Anolis sagrei: one gene and its partner. The protein of the gene in region 2 purifies or fractionates together with the protein of the main gene of each other region. This does not show direct contact. Links are inferred from orthologs where the notes say so. Each region holds a gene or a part of one and is shown on either strand. Other genes may lie near its edges.

The links. Proteins that work in one complex are often made in the same cells at the same time.
Region 1: the proteins of GNB1 (region 2) and PFDN5 purify together in Homo sapiens (co-immunoprecipitation; 3 studies listed by BioGRID and IntAct, with this or other methods). This does not show direct contact. The link is inferred for Anolis sagrei from reciprocal best matches to the Homo sapiens genes GNB1 and PFDN5.

The regions. Positions count from the first base shown.
Region 1 is NC_090022.1:187,059,782-187,067,602, forward strand, and holds the start of PFDN5 (prefoldin subunit 5), read right to left. Parts: upstream 3,094-7,821; 5' UTR 3,048-3,093; coding exon 2,976-3,047; intron 435-2,975; coding exon 332-434; intron 1-331. Other genes in the region: ESPL1 (separin), read right to left, coding at 6,023-6,224, 7,666-7,821. UniProt on the Homo sapiens protein: Binds specifically to cytosolic chaperonin (c-CPN) and transfers target proteins to it. Binds to nascent polypeptide chain and promotes folding in an environment in which there are many competing pathways for nonnative proteins.
Region 2 is NC_090033.1:1,576,438-1,583,696, reverse strand, and holds the start of GNB1 (guanine nucleotide-binding protein G(I)/G(S)/G(T) subunit beta-1), read right to left. Parts: upstream 3,062-7,259; 5' UTR 2,672-3,061; intron 1-2,671. UniProt on the Homo sapiens protein: Guanine nucleotide-binding proteins (G proteins) are involved as a modulator or transducer in various transmembrane signaling systems.

The sequences.
Region 1 (7,821 bases), on a different chromosome or scaffold from region 2:
TAATCTGAAACATAAAATCCACTGCCTTCAATTTTTTAAATTGTAGGGTCTTGACATATTACTGATTGTTAAATGACACATTTTTGGTTAGGTTGCTGTGAGCTTTTCGGGCTGTATGGCCATGTTCCAGTAGCATTCTCCTTAGCTGATTAGAAAGATGGTTAGAATTTACATCTGTCCTCAATCACTTTTAAAAAGTCACGTCGGTTTTTCCATTGCATCTACTTACTAAAAAGTGTGCCTATTGAATTCATTGGTTCTTTTTGGCTTTATTTTCATCGCTCACTCTGAGGAGAATAGCATATATATTTGAACAATACACAGTACTTGCCTTCGTTGCTTTTATTCAAGACAGTCAGGCAGTCCTTTGCTTCCACATATTTTGTCTGTACCACTTTAAGTTGTGCAATGGATGAAGAAAGGAATTCCACTTCCTAGGAAAAGTCATACAAAATTCAGAAGTTAAAGACCCATCACCTCCAGCAACCAGCTGCATGTGAAGTAGGTATTCTGAAATATTTGCCACCAGGAGCACTACACCGTGAACATCTAGACCAGAGATGGGAAAATTGTGGTTCTTCCAAATGTTGCTGAGTAGTATTTCTAAACAACAGACATTGTTGGTTACCCTGGCTAGGACCAATGGAAAGCCACACATTCATCACCCCAGTCTAGAAGAACAGGATTGAAACGACTACTTCATTACAATACCATTTACTTCCATCCAAAAGCCATGGCAGATTTGTATGACAAGTCACATTGACAGCACAGTCATTTGGCAGAAGGGAAAGACTGAATGGAAAGAAAGTGTATAGAATCCTAATAGACATGTGGTGATTCAGTATGCTTATCCCCCTGGTTAGGTATTCTGTTTTTTTCTCTCTCATGCACATGCAAACACATTTCACAGCAAAAACTTGGAGCAGACTTACATATATCGTCTGCTCCTTTTACACAAATAGAAGGTAATATTCAAACTAAGTATGACCATTTCTATCGAAGAACGGGATCCTTTTTCTTATGATAGAGAACTTCCCAGCTCTAAGCCAGGAATGAGGAAGCCGTGGTCCTCCAGATGTTGTTGGACTCTAATACCCATCAGTTAATAAAGGCCAAACCCTACTGCTCCCCTTCTTGGGCTCCTCCATCACAAATACACTTTTCAATACACTTTTTTACTCCTATCTCTTCCAGGGTTTTAACATTTTAGCTCACGCATTTGGCCTGTCCTTTGTGTTTGATTTATATTATGTTATTTTGCACAGTTTATTTTATTCTGTTATTTTATGTATTTTGCTGTGATGTAATTTTTCTGTTGCTTTGTTTTGAACTCTGCTGTATTATTTTTGGGCTTGGCTTCATGTTAGCCACCCCGAGTTCCCTTTGGGGAGATGGTGACGGGGTATAAATAAAGTTTATTTATTATTATTATTATTATTGTTGTTGTTGTTGTTATCAGTTCCAACATTCAAACCAAAAGATCATCTAGGTGCCATTTAAACGAATAGCACAAGCTGGAATATGTCTAGAGGAGGGCGACTAAAATTATCAAGGGTCTGGAGAACAAGCCCTATGAGGAGCAGCTTAAAGAACTGGGCATGCTTAGCCTGAAGAGAAGGCTGAAAGGAGATATGATAGCTATGTATAAATATGTGAGAGGAAGCCACAGGGAGTAGGGAGCAAGCTTGTTTTCTGCTTCAATGGAGATTAGGACACGGAACAATGGCTTCAAACTACAAGAAAGGAGATTCTATCTGAACATGAGGAAGAACTTCCTGACTGTGAGAGCCGTTCAGCAGTGGAACGCTCTGCTCTGGAGTGTGGTGGAGGCCAGGAAGCCTCTTTGGAGGCTTTTAAACAGAGGCTAAATGGCCATCTACCGAACCCAATTCAAGGTGCAAGTGCTTACCTACAAAGCCCTAAATGGCTTGGGACCTGCTTACCTGCATGACCGCATCTCCATTTATGAACCCACGCACTCCCTTCGTTCATCCGGAGAGGCCCTGCTTACGATCTCACCTGCGTCACAGGCGTGTTTGGTGGGGACGAGGGACAGGGCCTTCTCTGTGGTTGCCCCCCCCCCCGACTTTGGAACACCCTCCCCAAAGACATTAGACTAGCACCCATGTTGGCAGTCTTTAGGAAGAACATGAAGACCTGGCTATTCTGATGTGCCTTTCCAGAATAGGATAACCCCCAGCTCTATGTCCCAGTAGAGTTTAAGACTCTCTGCACTTGCACTTGCCCAGAATTCCAACACACCACCTCTCACACCCAGCACTTTTTAATATGTACCCTTCATTGGCCCGGCCCTGGTTTTATTGCGTAATAGTGTAATGTTTTCTTATTGCTTATGTTTTTAATTTGCTTTGTATCGTACTGTTATTGTCTATTGTTGTTGGGTTGAGGCCTTGGCCTTTGTAAGCCGCATCGAGTCCTTCGGGAGATGCTAGCGGAGTATAAATAAAGTTTAATAATAATAATAATAATAATAATAATAATCTGTCAGGGGTGCTTTGAATGCAATATTCCTGCTTCTTGGCAGGGAGTTGGACTGGATGGCCCATGAGGTCTCTTCCAACTCTTTGATTCTATGATTCTATCTACGCTCTGAAAGATATCAATCCTTGAGATTGTAACCTTCCCCTGGAGATCTTGAGGGTGTCACACTGGGCCTGCCCTCTACCCCGCATCCTGATCCTAGCGGGGCATCTACACTGCAAAATTAAGGCACTTTGACACCACTTTAGCTGCTTCGTTGCTCAATGCTATGAAATCCTAACAATTGCAGTTCAGTGAAGCACCACCCTCTTTGGCAGGCCGGGTAAAACGACAACTCCCACTCTTCCATAGAAGTGAGACCTGGCAATTAATGTGGTATAGAACAGTTTTCATTCCACAGTGCAGACGAACTCTAGGGGGGGCAGTCCAGAGGGAGACCAGGCCCCTGTTTCCCCCGCTTTCCTCTCCCTCACCTGGTCTAACTGGTTCTTCAGCACTTCCAGCTGCGGCAGGGACAGCTCCGAAATGTTCACCTGCTGCGCCATCTTGGAAGGAAGGAAGGAAGGAAAGAAGGAGCCGTTCCTCCTCAAGACGCGCTAGCAGTCGAGTCTATGGTCACTGCGTCTATGACGTTAGCCCAATCCACGCCCTGTTGCCAGCAAACGGCAAGGTTGGCCACAATGACCTCACTTCCGGCCTGCGAGCGAGGCGCCTCCTAGAGAGATAGAAGGGAAACGGTGGGATGCTGCATAATAGAATCATAGAATCATAGTGTTGGAAGAGACCTCATGGGCCATCCAGTCCAACCCCCTGCCAAGAAGCAGGAATATTGCATTCAAAGCACAATTACTTATTCATGTGCTTTGGCACTTTGAATTGCCATGGAATCCTGCGAGTTGTAGTTTGACAAGGTCTTTAGCCTCCTTGGACAAAGTGCTGGCGCCTCACCAAATCCCAGGCTTCCATAGCCTAGAACCGTGGCAGTTAAAGCGGTGTCGAACTGTATTATATATGGATACCTTCAGTCCATTTCATTGCTGGCCCAAGTTAGTATTCTGTTGTTGATGGCTTTCATAGCCACCATGACTGTGAGTTGCTGTGAGTTTTCCGGGCTGTATTGCTATGTTCCAGTAGCATTCTCTCCTGACGTTTTGCCTGTATCTGTGGCCGGCCTCCTCAGAAGTTCTGTTGGCTATGAAGCAAATGGAGTGTGTGTGTGTGTATATATATATGTGTGTGTGTGTGTGTGTATATATATATATATACACACACACACACACACACGCATACACCCACACACACACATCTGTGGAAATGTCCAGGGTGGGAGAAAAAACCCTTGTCTGTTTAAAGATAGTGTGAATGTTACAGTTAACAAATTGATTAGCATTGAGCAGCCTTGCAGCTGCAAAACCTGGCTGTTGCTTCCTGGGGGCATTCTTTGCTTGGGAAACTCAAGAATGGAAAACGGAATGTTAGTGGACAGGAAAAGAGATTTAAAGATGGACTCAAAGCCAACCTTAAAAACTCTGGCATAGACATTTATTTATCGTGTCAGGAGCATTACATTTTTATAACAAAACAAACAAACAGACAAAACACAAAGTTTGCAAACTTAGTAGTTGATTAAATGTCCTTTGACCAGTATCTGGCCACTTGGAGTGCCTCTGGTGTTGCCACAAGGAGGTCCTCCATATTTTTTTTGTCATGTCAGGAGTGACTCCTGGTTTGAGAGAATTGGCCATCTGCAAGGACGTTGCCCAGGGGACGCCTGGATGATTTTGATGTTTTTATCATCCTTGTGGGAGGCTTCTCTCATGTCCCCGCATGAGGAGCTGGAGCTGATAGAGGGAGCTCATCCGCCTCTCCCAGGATTCGAACCTGCGACCTGTCGGTCTTCAGTCCTGCCAGCACAGGGCTTTAACCCACTGCACCACCTGGGGTCCTCCATTGTGTATGTAGCAGGGATCAGGTTGCATTGCAGCAGGTGGTCAGTGGTTTGCTCATCTCCACACTCGCATGTCGTGGATTCCATCTTGTAGCCCCATTTCTTAAGATTGGCTCTGCATCTCGTGGTGCCAGAGCGCAGTCTGTTCGGCGCCTTCCAAGTCACCCAGTCTTCTGTGTGCCCGGGGGGGGGGGGGGGGGGGGCTCTCATTTGGTACTGGAGGAGACGTAGTTTTAAAAAGGGAATTTTCAGATATTTCCCCAATGCCTATATGTCATGATTTACTACCATTTTGGCCTATTTCTGCAGTAGGCCTATGTTCACAGAAAATGCTGATTGAGAAATCAGTGCTCCAAAGAAGAAGTTACTATTCAAGGATAACAACATATCCGGACAAAACCAGGTAGCTGTTGGCTAGTTAGAACCCCCAAGTTTCCCAGTCGCTTTGAAGCCATGTTTGCAACAGACTAACAGATAAGATACAGTCATGATCAGAGAACAATGGACTATAGTTATGTTATAGTTGTGCCATTGTTAGGATCCCACGTGTGCTAAAATGTCAATCAAAATCATAAACAACTAATGAACAACTGCATAGCTAGCTTAGACCAATGAAATGATTTGTCTTTGGGAACCAATGAAAATGTATATTCCATTTACTATAAATGCTCTGCAGCCCCATTGTTTGTCGTTATTGCTATGGCCATGCAATAATAAATAGTTTTTTGCAGTTTAAATTTCATAACTAGCTGTTATGAAATTTAAAAAAGTAATGTTTAAAACCTGTTGTTAAAAATGAAGGCAAGAAACATTGTGCTAGGCTACCCCGACACAAGATCACATCATTTATTATTTTCATTGCCATTTTAATCCATTATTCTTTTAATAATAATAATTGTAATAATAATAATAGATTTTATTTTTACCCGCCACCATCTCCCCAATAGGACTCGGGGCAGCTAACAAAGCACAGCGAAGTGCCGCATATAAATAATAAATAATCTAAAAATGATAAAACTATGAAATTACAATCACACACACAATTATAAAACATTAACCTTTCTTTTCTCACCTTGCTTGATTTTAATAGCAAGACTGGAAATGTTAGCAAAAGTAGATTGGCCAGGACAAAATCGGAGATTTAAATTTAGAACTAGATAGACAGCCATCCAAGATTAGATATAACTTCCCAAGAATCAAATGCCAATGATAATAGTGCATGATTCATGTGCAAACACACGGAGGGGGGGAGATTGTTTGCTTTAAACTTTATTTAGGTTTTGAAACATTAAAATTCATATAGCTTTTAAGAAACATTCATAATACTCTCTGAAATTAAAAATGTGTACATTGTGCAAATCTTAAATACTTGAAAGAGCAGCCCAGGTAGAAACATTTTGTCTAAAAACAATATAGGCCTTCAACAAAATATATACTCCTACTATACACCAAAAATGCATCTGAAGCATTTTTATCCTTTGTCTCCAAAGGCAATTTGCAATTAAAGTACTCAGAGTCAAGAAAAGTTTATCCAGATCCTTCCAAATGTCTCCCACCAGGCTCTTGTCTTTTCTACTGTAGAAAAACTGGGAGTCCATAAGCTATGGGAGCAGCACCAATCATGTATTTCAGTCTGGGTGCCTGGCGTGACTGAATGATGTACTGGAGCAGAGGAGCTCCAGAGCCTGCCTTCAGCCAGTTCTTCAGAAGAGCCTGCATGAAGCGGTCAATGTCTCGGTCAGTCACATCCCAGAGATTGCCCAGCACTAGGGGACTGGAAAACAAAGGACAGGGGAAAAGGAAGACAAGTTTATACTATTGATATCCTGCCTTTCTCCCACAGTGGGATTCAAAGAGGCTTACAATGCAAGCTAAAACATAATAGCTAAAGAATTATATGGTATAAAGGTTATAGCATTGAACAACAAATCCATCCAAGATGCTATTTATCAATTTAAAAATAAAAACCAGATTTTGACATAACAGCACATCTATGCATATCTGACTACTACAACCAGTTAAAGACCTGTTTCATTAAGAAGGAAGTTGCCTCTTGGCAGAAATAGGACAGAGAAGAGACCAACCAAGATCCCCACAGGAGAAAGTCCCAAAGACTATGAGCAGCTTCCAAGAAGACTCTCTCTTGTGTGTTCATGAGACAAACCTTAATGCATGGTCAGACAGAGAGAAAGCCATCTGATGAATATCATAAGACTCTGGCAGACTCATATAAACAGATAGTTCTTGAAATAGCCTGTAAAGGTAAAGGTTTTCCCCTGACATTAGTTCCAGTTGTGTCTGACTCTGGGGGTTGGTGCTCATCTCTAAGCTGAAGAGCTGGTGTTGTCTGTAGACACCTCCAAGGTCATGTGGCCAGCATGACTGCATGGAGCACCGTTACCTTCCCACCGGAGCAGTACCTATTGATCTACTCACATTTCCATGTTTTTGAACTGCTAGGTTGGCAGAAGCTGGGGCTGACAGCAGAAGCTCACACCGCTCCCCAGATTCAAACCTGTGACCTTTCGATCAACAAGTTTAGCAACTCAGCGGTTTAACCCACTGTGCCACCAGGGGCTCCTGAAATAGCCTGTACCTAAGCCTTATAGACCTTTCAATATCATATCATATTATCATTCAAATTGTGCCAGAAGAGAAAGCACTAATCAATTAAACTCCCAGAGAGAAAGTCAAATACACTCACAAAGGTGGAGATTTCCATCTTCTCATTTGAGGCATCAGTGTTCAAGGACAAATCACTTGCATTCTAGACAATAGGAATGCTTTCTGATTTTCCAGCATTAATCTACTGGAGTGCAAACTAAAGTGGAGAACCACATCATGCCCAATCCCCCTACACCAGTGTTAGGGAGTCGGGACCCTTGGGGGTGGTGGTTGCAAGGGGGTTTCAGATTGATCATCAACCAAAGACAATCAGATACATATATTTCTGAACTGTATTAAGAGGTTGTGGAATTAGAAAGGTTGAGAAACGCTGCCCTACGCATATACGTAATGGCAGAGAACGGTATATGAGATCTCCCTCCCTTAGCATACATAAGATGAGGAAGGCATTCTGTGTAAGTTTGATTTTTTCAAGGTATACTTCACTCTTTGTATAGCAGGTCATATTGAAAATCACTGCCCAAAGTTTCTAGGTCTCATAGGGGATTCCAGTTTAGAAGGGAATAAGACTGACAGGTAAAGCAACTTACCATCCTGCCATGAGGAACCTGAGGACAGCACCAGTTCCCTCCAGATTGCCTTGCACCGCAAGGGCAGCACTGCTACATCCAAAGAGAAGAGCCACAGACCTGCAGTCCATTTTAAGGATGGAGTCTACAAAACGTGCACCAGCACCATGCCCAGCA
Region 2 (7,259 bases):
AGGGATGCCTTTCCAAGAGGGAGGGGGGGTTCTTATGAGAAAGAAGGGGTCTTTCTAAAGAGGTGGGGGGGGGGGTCTAATAAGGAGGAGAAGGCCTTTCCAAGAGGGAAGGGGGCTTTTCTAAGAGGGAAGGGGGGCTCCTATGAGAAAAAATGGGCCTTTCTAAGAGGAGGGGGGTGTTAACTGAGGGAGGGGGCTTTCACAAGAGGGAGGGGGCCCAATAAGAAGGAGAAGGCCTTTCCAAGTGGGAGGGGGTCCTATCTAAAGAGGGGATGGTCTAATAAGGAGAAGGCCTTTCCAAGAGGGAGGGGGCTTTTCTATGAGGGAAGGAAGGGCCTAAATAAGAGGGAGGGGACTTTTCCAAGAGAGGGGGGCTCCTACGAGAAAGAATTGGCCTTTCTAAGAGGACAAGGGGGGGAGGTTATATGAGGGAGGGGTCCTTTCACAAGAGGGAGGGGTCCAATAAGAAGGAGAAGTCCTTTTCAAGAGGGAGGGGGTTCCTATGAGAAAGAAGGGGCCTTTCTAAGAGGACGGGGGGGGGGTAAATGAGAGAGGGGCTTTCACAAGAGGGAGGGGGGTCTTTTCTAAAGAGGGAAGGGTCAAATAAGAAGGAGAAGGGTCTTTTCTAAGAGGATTGGGGCGGGGGTTAAATGAGGGAGGGGGCCCAAAAAGAGAAGGCCTTTCCAAATGGGAGGGGGTCTTTCCTAAAGAGGGAAGGGTCTATCTAAATAAGAGGGAGGGGGCCTTTCCAAGTCGGAGGGGATCCTTTTTAAAGAGGGAGGGGTCTCATAAGGAGGGGAAGGATGGGGGGGTCCTATGAGAAAGAAGAGAACAGGGGAGGGGGGTTATATGAGGGAGAGGGCCTTTCCAAAAGGGAGGGGGTCCTTTCTATGAGGGAAGGAAGGGCCTAAATAAGAGGGAGGGGGTCTTTCCAAGAGAGTGGGGGTCTCCTATAAGAAAGAAGGAGCCTGCCTAAGAGGAGGGGGGTTATATGAGGGAGGGGGCTTTCACAAGAGGGGGGGGCAATAAGAAGGAGAAGGCCTTTCCAAGAGGGTGGGGGTCCTTTCTAAAGAGGGAAAGGTCTCATAAGGAGGAGAAGGCCTTTCCAAGAGGGGGGGGGCTTTTCTAAGAGGGAAGAGCCTAAATAAGGGGGGGGGGTAGGCTCCTATGAGAAAGAAGGGGCCTTTCTAAGAGGATGGGAGGGGGAGGGGGGAGGAAATCGGTTGAATGAGGGAGGGGAATCTAAATAAGGGGGAGGGCCTTTCCAAGAGGGAGGGGGTCCTTTCCTTTCTAAAGAGGGAGGGGGCTCTTCTGAGAAAGGGGCCTTTCTAAGAGGATGGGGAGGGGGGGAATGGGTTAAATGAGGGAGGGGGCCCAATAAGAAAGTGAAGGCCTTTCCAAGAAGAGGGGGGGGGGCTTTTCTAAGAGGGAAGGACCTAAATAAGAGGGAGGGTGGGTTAAATGAGGGAGGGGGGGTCTAAATAAGAGGGAAGGGTTTCATAAGGAGGAGAAGGCCTTTCCAAGAAGAAGGGGGGGCTTTCCTAAGAGGGAAGGGGCTAAATAAGAGGGAGGGGGGCTCCTATGAGAAAGAAGGGGCCTTTCTAAGAGGGGGGGTGGGTTAAATGAGGGAGGGGGGTCTAAATAAGGGGGAGGGGGCCTCCTAAGGAGGAGAAGGCCTTTCCAAGAAGGGGGGGGTCCTTTCTAAAGAGGGAAGGGTCTCATAAGGAGGAGAAGGCCTTTCCCAGAGGGAAGGGGGGCTTTTTTATGAGGGAAGGGCCTAAATAAGAGGGAGGGGGTCTTTCTAAGAGGAGTGGGGGAAATGGGTTAAATGAGGGAGGGGGCCCAATAAGAAGGTGAAGGCCTTTCCAAGAAGAGGGGGGGGTCCTTTTCTAAAGAGGGAAGGGGCTAAATAAGAGGGAGGGGGGCTCCTAGGAGAAAGAAGGGGCCTTTCTAAGAGGGGGGGGGGGTTGGGTTAAATGAGGGAGGGGGGTCTAAATAAGGGGGAGGGGGCCTTTCCAAGAGGGAGGGGGGCTTTTCTAAGAGGGAAGGGGCTAAATAAGAGGGAGGGGGGCTCCTATGTGAAAGAAGGGGCCTTTCTAAGAGGATGGGGGGGAATGGGTTAAAAGAGGGAGGGGGCCCAATAAGAAGGTGAAGGCCTTTCTAAGAGGGAGGGGGTCTTTCCAAGAGGGAGGGGGCCTTTTCTAAAGAGGGAAGGGTCTCCTAAGGAGGAGAAGGCCTTTCCAAGAAGGGGGGCTTTTCTAAGAGGGAAGGGTCTAAATAAGAGGGAGGGGGGCTCCTATGAGAAAGAAGGGGCCTTTCTAAGAGGAGGGGGGAGGGGGAAATGGGTGAAATGAGGGAGGGGGGTCTAAATAAGGGGGAGGGCCTTTCCAAGAGGGAGGGGGGTCCTTTCAAAAGAGGGAGGGGGCCTCCTAAGGAGGAGAAGGCCTTTCCAAGAGGGGGGGTCCTTTTCTAAAGAGGGAAGGGGCTGAATAAGAGGGGGGGGGGCTCCTATGAGAAAGAAGGGGCCTTTCTAGGAGGAGGGGGGAGGGGGAGATGGTTGAAATGAGGGAGGGGGGCCTAAATAAGGGGGAGGGGGCCTTTCCAAGTGGGGGGGGGGTGGGGGGAGCAACCGGGGTCCTTTCCCTCGAGGCGGCCTCTTCCTCTTGCTCACCTCCTTGCTGGCGCCGTCCTTTGCGGGCCTTGCTGGCGACCCTGTCGGGCCTGGTCCTCCTTCCTCTCCTCGGCCTTGCCTTCCTGCCTTCCTTCTCCCTTGGAAGAGGCCTGCCTGCCTGGAGGGGCGCGACGAAGGCGAGGCGGCGGCGAAGAAGGCCGCTCCGTGCCGTCCCCTCAGCCCTGAAGGAAGGAAGGAGGCAGGCTTGGCTGCGCCGTCGGGGGTGGGGGAGAGGGGGGAGAGGGGCCTGCTCCTCCTTTCAGCTGCCTGGCGCGGCCATCCGGGCTGGCTTCCCTTCTTCCTTCGCTTCCTCTGCTTCCCTCTCTTCCTTCCTTCCTTCCTGGCTCCTCTCAGGGTCTCTCTCTTCTCTCTCTTTCTCCTCCTCCTCCCTCCCTCCTCCCTTCTCGGCCCCTGCGGCCCAGTCCGGGAAACCCCGCGCGCCGCCCCGCCCGCCTTGCCTGGCTTGGCTTCCCTTTGGCTTTGCTTTGGCTTTGGGGCCTAGTCCGCCTGACTGGATTTGGCCTCCCTCTCTCTCCCTCTCTGACAGGAAAAGGCCTCAGCGAGCGGGCGGAGAGGGGTGGCCCCCTCTCTCTCTCTCTCTCTCTCTCTCTGGGAAGGAAGAGAAGGAGAAGGGATACAAAGGGAGGAAGGAAGGAAGGAAGAGACTCCCTTTTGACAGATGAGGAAGAGAGGGGAGGGAAGGAAGAAAAGGAAGAGAAGAAAGGGAAAAGGCGGAAGAAAAGGAACAAGTAGGAAGAAACTGAAAGGAAAGGAAGGAAGGAAAGAAAGGGAAAAAGCGGAAGAAGAGGAACGAGTAGGAAGAAACTGAAAGGAAGAAAAGGAACGAGTAGGAAGAGAAGGAAGAAAAGGAAAGGAACGAGTAGGAAGAAACTGAAAGGAAGAAAAGGAACGAGTAGGAAGAGAAGGAAGAAAAGGAAAGGAACGAGTAGGAAGAAACTGAAAGGAAAAGAATGAGTAGGAAGAAACTGAAAGGAAGAAAAGGAAGAAACTGAAAGGAAAAGAATGAGTAGGAAGAAACTGAAAGGAAGAAAACGAAGAAAAGAAAGCTTTCCTTTGGCTTTGGGGCCTAGTCCGCCTGACTGGATTTGGCCTCCCTCTCTCTCTCTCTCTGGGAAGGAGGAGAAGGAGAAGGGATACAAAGGGAGGAAGGAAAGAAGGGACTCCCTTTTGACAATACGAGGGAAGGGAAGAATGGAGGAAAAAGAAGGGAAGGAACAAGTAGGAAGAAAGTGAAAGGAAAGGAAGAAAAAGAAGAGAAGGAGGAAAAGAAAGGGAACAGAAGGAAGGAAAGGAATGAGTAGGAAGAAGAAAGGAAGGAAGAAAAGAAAAGGAAGAGAAGGAAGGGAAGAAACAAGTAGGAGGAAACTGAAAGGAAGGAAGAGAAGGAAGAAAAGAAAGGGAACAGAAGGAAGGAAAGGAATGAGTAGGAAGAAAGTGAAAGGAAAGGAAGGAAGAGAAGGAAGAAAAGAAAAGGAACAGAAGGAAGGAAAGGAATGAGTAGGAAGAAAGGGAAAGGAAGAGAAGGAAGGAAGAAAAGAAAAGGAAGGGAAGGAACAAGTAGGAGGAAACTGAAAGGAAGGAAAGAAAGGAAGGAAGAGAAAGAAGGAAAGGAAGGAAGGAAAGGAAAAGGCCTCCGCAGGCAGGCAACAAGGGGTGGCCCTCTCTCTCTCTGGGAAGGAGGAAAAGAGGGGATACAAAGGGAGGAAGGAAGGAAAGAAGAGACTCCCTTTTGACATATGAGGAACAGAGGGGAGGGAGGGAAGAAAAAGAAGAGAAGAAAGGGAAAAGGCGGAAGAAAAGGAACAAGTAGGAAGAAACTGAAAGGAAGAGAAGGAAGGAAAGAAAGGGAAAAAGCAGAAGAAGAGGAACAAGTAGGAAGAAACTGAAAGGAAGAGAAGGAAGAAAAGGAAAGGAATGAGTAGGAAGAAACTGAAAGGAAGAAAACGAAGAAAAGAAAGCTTTCCCTTGGCTTTGGGGCCTAGTCCGCCTGACTGGATTTGGCCTCTCTCTCTCTCTCTCTCTCTCTCTCTCTCTCGGAAGGAGGAGAAGGAGAAGGGATACAAAGGAAGGAAGGGACTCCCTTTTGACACATGAGGAAGAGAGGGAAGGGAGAAAAGGAAGAGGAGAAAGGAAAGGAAGGGGAAAGGCGGAAGGAAAGGGACAAGTAGGAAGAAACTCAAAGGAAAGGAAGGAAGAAAAGAAAGGGAAGAGAAGGAAGGAAAGAAAGGGAAAAAGCGGAAGAAGAGGAACAAGTAGGAAGAAACTGAAAGGAAGAAAAAGAACGAGTAGGAAGAGAAAGGAAGAGAAAGAAGAGAAGGAAAGGAACGAGGAGGAAGAAACGGAAAGGAAGAGAAGGAAGAAATGGAAGAGAAGGACAGGAAAGAAACAAGTAGGAAGAAACTGAAAGGAAGAAAGGGAACGAGTAGGAAGGAAAGAAAAAATAAGTAGGAAGAAACGGGAAGGAAGAGAAGGAAGGAAAGAAAGGGAAGAGAAGGAAAGGGAAGAAACAAGTAGGAAGAAACTGAAAGGAAGAAAAGAAAGGGAAGAGAAGGAAGAAAAGAAAGGGAAAGGAAAGGAAGGAAAGGAATGAGTAGGAAGAAACTGAAAGGAAGAAAAGAAAGGGAAGAGAAGGAAAGAAACAAGTAGGAAGAAACTGAAAGGAAGAGAAAGAAGAAAGGGAAAAGAAGGAAAGGAAAGAAACAAGTAGGAAGAAACTGAAAGGAAGAAAGGGAAGAGAAGGAAGGAAAGGAAAAATAAGTAGGAAGAAACTGAAAGGAAGAAAAGGAACGAGTAGGAAGAAACTGAAAGGAAAAAAGGGAAGAGAAGGAAGGAAAGGGGAAAGAAATAAGTAGGAAGAAACTGAAAGGAAGAGAAGAAAGGGAAGAGAAGGAACAAGTAGGAAAAAATGAAGGGAAGGAAGAAGAGAAAGAAGGAAAGAAAGAAAAGGAACAAGTAGGAAGGAAGTGAAAGGAAAGGAAGAACAAGAGAAGGAGGGAAAATGGAAGAGAAGGAAGGGAGAAGTGAAGAAAGGGAAGGGATGGGGGGAAGGAATGAGTGGGAAGGAAGTGAGGAAGAAAAGAAACAGAGGAAGGAAGGAAGGGAAGGAACAAGTATAGGAAGAGAAGGAAGAAAAAGTGAAGGGAGGAAGGAAAGAAACAAAAGGATTGAGTGGGAAGAAGAGGAAGAGGGGAAGAGAAGGGGAAAAAGGAAGAAAGGGAACGAAGAAAATGAATGAAAGGGAATTGAAGGAAGGAAGAGAATGAAGGGAAAGATGGAAGAAAAGGAAGGAAGAGCACCAGCATGGAGCACCAACCTAGAGGAATTGCAAAAGGATCATCTCAACCAAAAACAAATCCATTCCTTAAAACACTTCTGTCCACACTGGCCGTTTTCACGCAGCTTCGCACCAAATGTCGAAGAGTATGGTTGAAAGGCATCACATTGCAGCGAGGTGCATAGATTATAGATAGAACATAGATTCCTTGGAAGAGTTGTGCAATGAGTGCATGCCAACCAGCATCAGAGGAGGAGGAGGAGAAGCACAGAATCGCATTGGCCCTTTTAGCTGCCGCATCCCACTGCCGGCACGTGCTCAGGGTGTGATCTTGCGGATCTTCGTGCCCGTCTTCACCCTGCGCTTCCTCGTCATGGATTGCCGAACCAAAGTTGCTTCACTCTGTGAGCAAACCGCCCGCCTTGCGGATCCCAAGCCTTCCTCTTTCCCCTCCGAATGGCTCCCTTCCAGGAAAGACGGTGTTTAGTTCACTGTCTTAGGTGGTAATCTTATTTGCAGATAAGCCTACTTTACCATCTAGCCGTGCGGTAAACCAAGCAGATTAAAAATCCCTGAACCTGGCCACTCCCTCCGTTCAAAACAATTCTTAGTAAAATATTCATATAACACCCCCCCCCCCATATATACATATATATTTATTGTTGCCATTGCAGTAACTTGTCTTTTTAGTAATTTTTACCTATTTATCCATCTATGGTCTCTCTATCTGAGGAGGTTGGACTGGATGGCCCTAGGGGTCTCTTCCAATTCTGGGATTCTATCATGTTGTCTAGCTAGCTTGCTGTCTAAAGAGGTTGAACTGGATGGCCCTTGAGGTCTCTTCCAATTCCAGGATTCTATCATCATCTCTATTTATTTATCTATGGTCTATCTATCTGAACGGGGTTGGACTGGATGGCCCTTGGGGTCTCTTCCAATTCTGGGATTCTATCTATCTATGAATTATCTATCTATTAGGGCTGGGCGGTTTCGTTTCGTTAATTCGTAATTCGTTAATAATTCGTTAATTTTTTCAATTACAAAACGACAACGAACCATTCTGGAGCAATTATTTAAAAAAACGAATTTTCAAAACGTTTTGTAAATGCTTCGTATTTTGATATTGTATTCGTTTCGTTATTGTTTTGAGGTCGTTTCGTTATTATTTCCGCATGTCTGGGCCAGTTTTATGGTTTAATTAGTGAAAAAAAATTATAATATCACACCAACAGTCAACAACAGAGGGAGAGGGAAGCTTCAGAAGGTTTTGGAGGTTTTTTAGCGTATTTCGCG